Arabidopsis thaliana: one gene and its partner. The protein of the gene in region 1 interacts with the protein of each later gene in a pairwise test. Each region holds a gene or a part of one and is shown in the gene's direction. Other genes may lie near its edges.

Evidence for each region. Proteins that work in one complex are often made in the same cells at the same time.
Region 2: the proteins of NF-YC10 (region 1) and CRF1 interact in a two-hybrid assay, tested with the Arabidopsis thaliana proteins (one large-scale study listed by BioGRID).

Annotation. Positions count from the first base shown.
Region 1 is NC_003070.9:2,472,498-2,476,825, reverse strand, and holds NF-YC10 (nuclear factor Y, subunit C10), read left to right. Parts: upstream 1-1,697; 5' UTR 1,698-1,915; coding exon 1,916-2,335; intron 2,336-2,778; coding exon 2,779-2,863; coding exon of another isoform or gene 2,864-2,874; exon of another isoform or gene 2,875-3,100; coding exon 3,101-3,142; intron 3,143-3,229; coding exon 3,230-3,303; 3' UTR 3,304-3,661; downstream 3,662-4,328. Other genes in the region: AT1G07985 (uncharacterized protein), read right to left, coding at 884-1,318; AT1G07970 (cytochrome B561, amino-terminal protein), read left to right, coding at 4,308-4,328.
Region 2 is NC_003075.7:6,794,130-6,798,089, reverse strand, and holds CRF1 (cytokinin response factor 1), read left to right. Parts: upstream 1-1,691; 5' UTR 1,692-2,296; coding exon 2,297-3,160; 3' UTR 3,161-3,460; downstream 3,461-3,960.

The DNA of each region.
Region 1 (4,328 bases):
AAAATCAGCTGTTCAATTTGCGGAATAAATAGTTGGCGAAAATTGTGCTTATAAATTTTACAACGGGATGATGAAGTACAATAAGCAAATCAATTTTGTGGATAAAGAAATGCATATGATTGTCTTAAGTTTGATTTAATGGTGTAGAATAAAAACATATAAAGACAAAAGTTGGTTGAAGTGTCAAACAGAGTGAACTCCGTAAACAGCCTCTTTTTCTTCACACCTTAAGAAACCATAGACGAAAAAAAGTTTACATATTTTTAGAAAATTTTCGATCTTTAAAAAATTTATGAGGAGATTTGTTAACCTTACATAATACTTGACAAGAGAATGATGAAATTTTTTTAGACAAAAAAAAACACGTTGAAAAGTCTCATATATGATGTCACTGATTTTTAGATCAAAATGTTGACACCCCAATTTGATCGGGAAGCAAGAAAACCCGGAGAACAGATATAAAATTAAATTGTTCTATTCTACACAAAACCTTGGGCATTTGTTAAATTTTAACTATTTACGGTTTATTTTAACCATCTCCACTGAGAATTTATCGTTACGTTTATGGAAATGACTACACACATCTTCGTTTTTCTAATCATTTATAGGTGTGTACTTGTTTTTCCTTCAAATTTTCATTGTTTCACTTGAAAAGTGCACTCTGAAAAATAGAAAGTACACTGAAAATTCATTGTTGTTTTCACTTAAAAAGTGCATACTGGACAACAAAAAACCTCAACAAACAAACGATCAAACAAGAGAGTGAGAGACCTAAAGATATTTTTTTCCACTAGCGCTTCAACAAAGAAAAAAGAAGAGAAGCTTTCATTTAAACGTGGTACGTTGAAGTATACATGATGATGTAATAAAGTACTACAATGACTCAACAACGCCAGCTCTTGGAATGGATATTAGTGGGAGAAGAAGATCCAACAACTTTATCAACCAGCTTCCTCAATCCCTTCTTCTTCTTCGGGGTCTTCTTTTCCTTATCCGTCTTATCTTCTCTCTTCCTCTCTTCTTCAACTTCTTCCTCAAACTGTGAACACAGCTTAAGCACTTGCTCCTCTACATTATTAAGTCTCTCTAGCAAAGTTCCTTTCCGCTCAGTCTCCTCCCTGACTTGTTCCATCGAACGGCAGTGTACCTTCCCTATGCTCCTCGGTGACGACAGATCCATTGACGATGGCTGAGTCCCACTAGATGGAGTCGATGGGCTCGAGCTTCTAGGCGAGCTTCCTTTCATCTCCTCTAACTTCCTCACCATGAAATCAATACGATCCAATCTTGAAAGTATCGGTTCTTCTACAACAGCCATTATTGATAACAAACGACAACGTTTCCAGAAGCTTTGGTTGTGTCGGAATAGTTGAAAGACAGTATCGAAAGCAAAACTCGTCTTCTCTTATTAATAGAGTAATAATTGGAGATTGAAAGAACACGAGCTAGGCCACGTTTAAATATTGCAGAGAGAGTTCATGGAGACTCACACGTGTTGTTGATAACACGTGGTGGTTCCAGCTTGCGGACACCTCTTCTGTCTCATACTCCAACATTACCCATTCTTCCTTATCTAATCCCTAAAATTTCTTTACATTATGTCGGGAACAAGATAATGTATTTTGGATGCTTGTATAAAAACATTATCTTATCCCAAGTACATTTACCCTAATTTATTTATTTCTCCATAAACTATACAATGTTTTACGAGGTGTATGCGAAACAGTGAAAGCATGTCCAATAATTTATTTTGAAGTAGTCGTCATGCATCTTCATTCCTCAACATCACCATGTCCATTCCTTAAATTGATCATATGATAAATGGGCCTAAAAGGCTCAAACAAATAAGCCCATGTAAATATCCATCGATTTATTCAGGCGAAAGGGTGAAACATACTGTAGTTCTAAAAAATTAATGGTGTCGTCAAAGAAACCCAAGGAGAAGAAGGCGAGGAGCGATGTCGTCGTCAATAAAGCGAGTGGTCGGAGTAAACGCAGCTCCGGTTCCAGAACGAAGAAGACGTCGAACAAGGTTAACATTGTGAAGAAGAAGCCGGAGATTTACGAGATCTCAGAATCATCGAGCAGTGACTCTGTGGAAGAAGCAATAAGAGGCGATGAGGCGAAGAAAAGTAACGGCGTCGTGAGCAAGAGGGGTAACGGAAAGAGTGTAGGAATTCCGACGAAGACGAGTAAAAATCGAGAAGAGGACGATGGAGGCGCGGAAGATGCTAAGATCAAGTTTCCGATGAATCGGATTCGGCGGATCATGAGAAGCGATAATTCTGCTCCTCAGATTATGCAGGATGCTGTATTTCTTGTCAACAAAGCCACGGTATAGTACTAATTAGACATATAAATTTAGCTTGAGGAACTTAATTTCACATGGTTTTTGATGAATTTGGGAGTATCAATTGCTAGTCAGTGTTAATTGGGCGTTATAATCTCGCAAATTGCTACAGTAATGAGATTGTTTCTGTTAATTAAGCCGGGAATTAACGTTATTGCTTCATCTCCATGTGTGTTTGATGAAACCGTAGTTACTGTGCTTGATTGTCATAGGTTTAGCTTTTACATCCAGAACTTGTAGACACCTAACACATGAGAAAGTCCTTATATATGATTTAGGTTCATATTTTCAAAGCTTAAGTGATGAGTGTTTAATTTTCCTGTATTGGAACTTGGCATTGTTTTTTCTTTCTTTTGATTTCATCTTGTGTTCATCGAAATTGATGTTCATTGCGTTTACAGTACATTAACTGGTTTTTGTGATTGAAGGAGATGTTCATTGAGCGGTTTTCTGAAGAAGCTTATGATAGTTCCGTCAAGGACAAAAAGAAATTCATCCACTACAAACACCTCTGTAAGCTCTAATCTCGTCCCTATTTGCCAATATCTGGTTACCTCAATACTGAATCCCATGTCGAAAATCTCATGCTGCTGCACCAATTGCTGAACTTAGGATTTCTGGCTTCTGCACAAGGGCCAGTAGTTAGTCTTAGGAAGAGTTTAGATAATGAGTTAATCCGTTCGTATCACTTGCAAGATTTGTTGCACTCCTAACATAATTGATGACACTGTCATTTCTACTCGTTGGCAGCATCCGTAGTGAGTAACGACCAGAGATACGAGTTCCTTGCAGGTACTTAATAACCTCTGAAGTATTCGTTTTATGAGTTCCATGTGGTTTACGAACAGCATTTTAATACCTGTAATATCTTGAATGCAGATAGTGTTCCCGAGAAACTTAAAGCAGAGGCCGCGTTGGAGGAATGGGAAAGAGGCATGACAGATGCAGGCTGAAATAAATCCGGTTGGAATCGAACTGAACCATTTGGATTCAAATTTGTGTCCCTGTCCTGGTTTATACTTCATAGGTTCCATCCGCCCGATCTTCACCTTTCTTATTAACCACTACTGAGATTGCACATATTTGATTTCTAGAATGTATACATTTTTTTTCTTGTTTCAAGTTAAAATTTGTAAGAGTTGTCGGAATTCTAATATCTTTCTTTAGTATCTATATATACATTTTTGCAGCCATTTTGTGAAATAAATTTTGTAGTTGGACTTATTTACAATGGCTGCCACTGGATTTTGATGTTTGTATTTGATAATTAGAAAGAAAATCTTCGAATTAAATATTTGACATTTAACAATCTTTCCAAAATCTCTCCACATTAACTAAACAGAGACAAAATTACAAAATATTTAGACAATGATTCATAAACATATCATAAATAAGATCAACATTAATAAAATAAATGGTTTTTTTTACTGGACGGGTTTGACAGGACGTTACTTAATAATAATTGTAAACTATAAAATAAAAATATTTTATAGTTAGATACAATTTGTAAACTTTTATATATACTAACATTAAAAAATAAATTGTTTCCGCGGTGTACCGCTGAGTTAAAATCTAGTTATAATTATAGGACAATTGGTCAGAAAATATTTAGAAAATATTTTTACCATAATTATTCTTACTAATCAAATTATAATATTAGTAAAACAAGCCAATTATCAAAAAAAGGTTTTTAAAATCATTCTTCTAGACCAATTTGAAAAAACTTTCCACATTTTCTTTTCTTTTTACACATTTTATAATTCTGTTATAAAATAAATAATCCAAAATAAGAGTTTGGGGGTAAAACTAAAAATTCAAATAATATGATGGGTATGAATAAAAATTAGGGTGGGTCCACCAGAAGCAGCGACTGAGAGCAGCTCTCAGCCGGGAAAATCCGACGATCCCTAAAACCCTTTTCCTTCTCTTTGGTTTGCTCGAGAAATCGTTTCCTGCCATGGATTCTGATGTGAGGAGG
Region 2 (3,960 bases), on another chromosome or scaffold:
TTAATCATATGCTATTTATTCTCACGAAGAAACTTTGAAAACCTAGTTTCTATTACTACCACTTTTATTGGACTCTCAAATGATTGGGTAGCTAACTTGTTTTCAAAAATGGGGTTTGATGTTTTATTTGATGTCTTTTTTAACATGATTTTAGGCCAAAACCTCAATTTGTCTATGTAATAACATCAAGATAACAAACTAAAACGAAGTGGTTTTTTTTTTATTATAAACTTGTCAGCCAAATTTATCCAATCGGCTAAGATAAGTAACTAAAAGTTTATATAGTCACTAGTCAGAGATACTAACCAAATTTAGGAAAAGCAATATCCACATTTTAAAATTTAAACATAAGGGACACGTGTGGATATCGGTGACTCAAGATTTTACATGAATTATTTTAGTAGAGTCGTGTGTACCCCGTGAAGGTGATGAATTACAAAGATTTCAGCTTTTGCCGCTATCAACATAGTTATAAATTGTAATATTATTTTTTGCTGTGTAAATTATTTTCTTAGTTCTTGCTTAGCATGAATAAGTATATCATCCAATGTATACAGAAGATGAGCTTTCTTACACAATACTATATAGTAAGATAAAGTTTCCAGAAGTGATAACTAAAACTTGTAACTCAACCATTAATACTCAACAAAACGCGAACTCTAAAGTTTAAATGAATTCTTACTTAGCAATATTTTTAAGCTAACTATGAATATAACATCCATACCTCAAATTAAATCAATCATAACATATATGTTACTAATCACATCCATATATTGCTTAGGCCTTAGGGTATAAGGCAAATACTTCATTCTTATAAAGCAAATTACTTTCCAGTAAAAATGAGACAAATAAATAAATGTGTATCACTATTAAGTATCATTTGTTTGTAGTAACACCGAATAATAGCGTTTATTTTCTTTTAAAAAATATCTCTCTAAATCTAGAATTAATAAAATATTATTTTACTTTCTTAGTTGTTTTGATTAAAAAAAATGAAGTGATTAGATATAAGTATATAACATCACGAATTTTTTTTTGCGGATTGTATTTTCTTGATAATTTTGATTCGGAAGTTATAATTGTGGCTTAATGAGTTTACCATTTCTTTTTTTTTTTTTTTTTTTTTTTTTTTTGAGTTTACCATTTCACTTCACATATATTACTGTGTTCTGTAATTTTGGCCAAATCAACACTTTAATATTTTGTTTGTAGAAAAACGTATCTTGAAAAAAGCCAAACACGGTCCACGTTAAAAGAACCAATATATTAAAGGCCTTTGTTTCTTCTCTGGTTTAACACTCACGTGAAAATATGCAGTGAAAAAGAGAGTTTTTCTATAAAGAGTGTTAAAAAGGACAAAAATATACTTTAATAAAATAAATTTTAATTAATATTCATGTCAAAAACAAGAGAAATTTAATCAATACTCCAAAAAAACGTTAAAAAGACACACAAGTCGAATGGAGTTAGTTTTTTTTTGACGTAACATCCTATGTTGTCGTCTCTGCCACGTCAGAAACCTGCTGTAGAAAAAGACCAGAGACTGCTAAAAAGGTAAAAAAGTAAAAAAAAAACCTGCACACCGCAACGGTCTAATTTGTTTTTACTTAGTTAGCAAATGACCAAAACACCCCTGTCGTTGAACGAAAAAGAGCGATTCTTCGTAGAAAGGTTTTAAGAATTTAATTAGATTTATTAACCACCCTTGATTACTGCTATTTATTTAAATTCTTAAGGTCAAAGGTTAGACTAAAACCGCATCCTCCAAGGTCATTAAATACAAATTTTGTTTCCCTTAATGACAAAAAAAAGGATTGTAAAACGCCGCAACCGCCGTTTCAATATCCTATAAAAGTCTCTGTTCTATTCAGAGTCACTCTCTTCACTTACATGTTTTGCTCTGCTTCTCTCTTTATCTTCTTCTTCATCTTTTGTCACTCTTTTCTTCTGCTCTAAACTTTTTCTTTTCGCTGCAAAAAAAAATTCCCAGGAATATTTCTTAAAAGAAATTTCATCCCTAAATAAGAAAAAAGCATCTCCTTCTTTAGTGTCCTCCTTCACCAAACTCTTGATTCCATAAGCATATATTAAAAAAGCTCTCTGCTTTCTTCAACTTTCCCGGGAAAATCTTCTTGTTACAAAGCATCAATCTCTTGTTTTACCAATTTTCTCTCTTTATTCCTTTTTTGCCCTTTACTTTTCCTAACTTTGGTCTTTATATATAAACACACGACACAAAGAAGAACACACATAAGTTAAAACTATTACAACAGTTTTAAAGAGAGAGATTTAAAAAATGGAGACAGAGAAGAAAGTTTCTCTCCCAAGAATCTTACGAATCTCTGTTACTGATCCTTACGCAACAGATTCGTCAAGCGACGAAGAAGAAGAAGTTGATTTTGATGCATTATCTACAAAACGACGTCGTGTTAAGAAGTACGTGAAGGAAGTGGTGCTTGATTCGGTGGTTTCTGATAAAGAGAAGCCGATGAAGAAGAAGAGAAAGAAGCGCGTTGTTACTGTTCCAGTGGTTGTTACGACGGCGACGAGGAAGTTTCGTGGAGTGAGGCAAAGACCGTGGGGAAAATGGGCGGCGGAGATTAGAGATCCGAGTAGACGTGTTAGGGTTTGGTTAGGTACTTTTGACACGGCGGAGGAAGCTGCCATTGTTTACGATAACGCAGCTATTCAGCTACGTGGTCCTAACGCAGAGCTTAACTTCCCTCCTCCTCCGGTGACGGAGAATGTTGAAGAAGCTTCGACGGAGGTGAAAGGAGTTTCGGATTTTATCATTGGCGGTGGAGAATGTCTTCGTTCGCCGGTTTCTGTTCTCGAATCTCCGTTCTCCGGCGAGTCTACTGCGGTTAAAGAGGAGTTTGTCGGTGTATCGACGGCGGAGATTGTGGTTAAAAAGGAGCCGTCTTTTAACGGTTCAGATTTCTCGGCGCCGTTGTTCTCGGACGACGACGTTTTTGGTTTCTCGACGTCGATGAGTGAAAGTTTCGGCGGCGATTTATTTGGAGATAATCTTTTTGCGGATATGAGTTTTGGATCCGGGTTTGGATTCGGGTCTGGGTCTGGATTCTCCAGCTGGCACGTTGAGGACCATTTTCAAGATATTGGGGATTTATTCGGGTCGGATCCTGTCTTAACTGTTTAAGAAATAACTGGCCGTTTAACGGCGTTTAGTGAAGTTTTGTTACCGGCGACGGCGAGGATTAAAAAAAAACGGCGATTTATTTTTTGAATGAAGATTTGTTAAATATATTAAACTTTTTTGTAACTTAATTAATGGTGATTTTATTTTTAAATAAAACTAATGGTAAATGGTGAACTTTTTGGCGTTAGCCGTTAAGTAACGTCTGTATATGAACGGCGTGGAGGCAAAACACGCACGAGTTTCTTCACGCTTTACTACTTTTCTTTCTTCTTTTGGTCTTTTGACGTATCACGTGTTGTCTCACGTGACGAGGAATCACCGAATTTGTGAAAAGCTTTGGTTAATCTTTCTTTTTATTGGGTTTATTTGACAAATAGCAATATTAGCAAACCATAATTGTTCTACTTTTGGAGCAAATGTTTTAGAATTACACGTGGGGGAGAATCGAATCCTGGCAAGTGTCTATGCAAAAAAATGAATTTGATTCATACCAACTCATATTATTTTGAACTTTAAGAAAGCTACATGTGTGGAAAAACTTCTATAATACAGTAGTACTTTAACTTTTGTTCTTTTTTAACTCTATAGTAACTTTTTCTATTTCCGTTTTAAGTCTCTATACCTGTGACATGTCTTATAATGGGCAGCTTTTTTATTGACAATTTCTATTTTCATAGAGCATACATTCCTATATACGAACAAATTAAAATCAAGTCGGTCTAGTCGAGGAATAACCATTATTAGAAATGTGATCTAACTAATCCAAAAGCTAGCTCAAAAGTCAAAGATTGCTATATCTT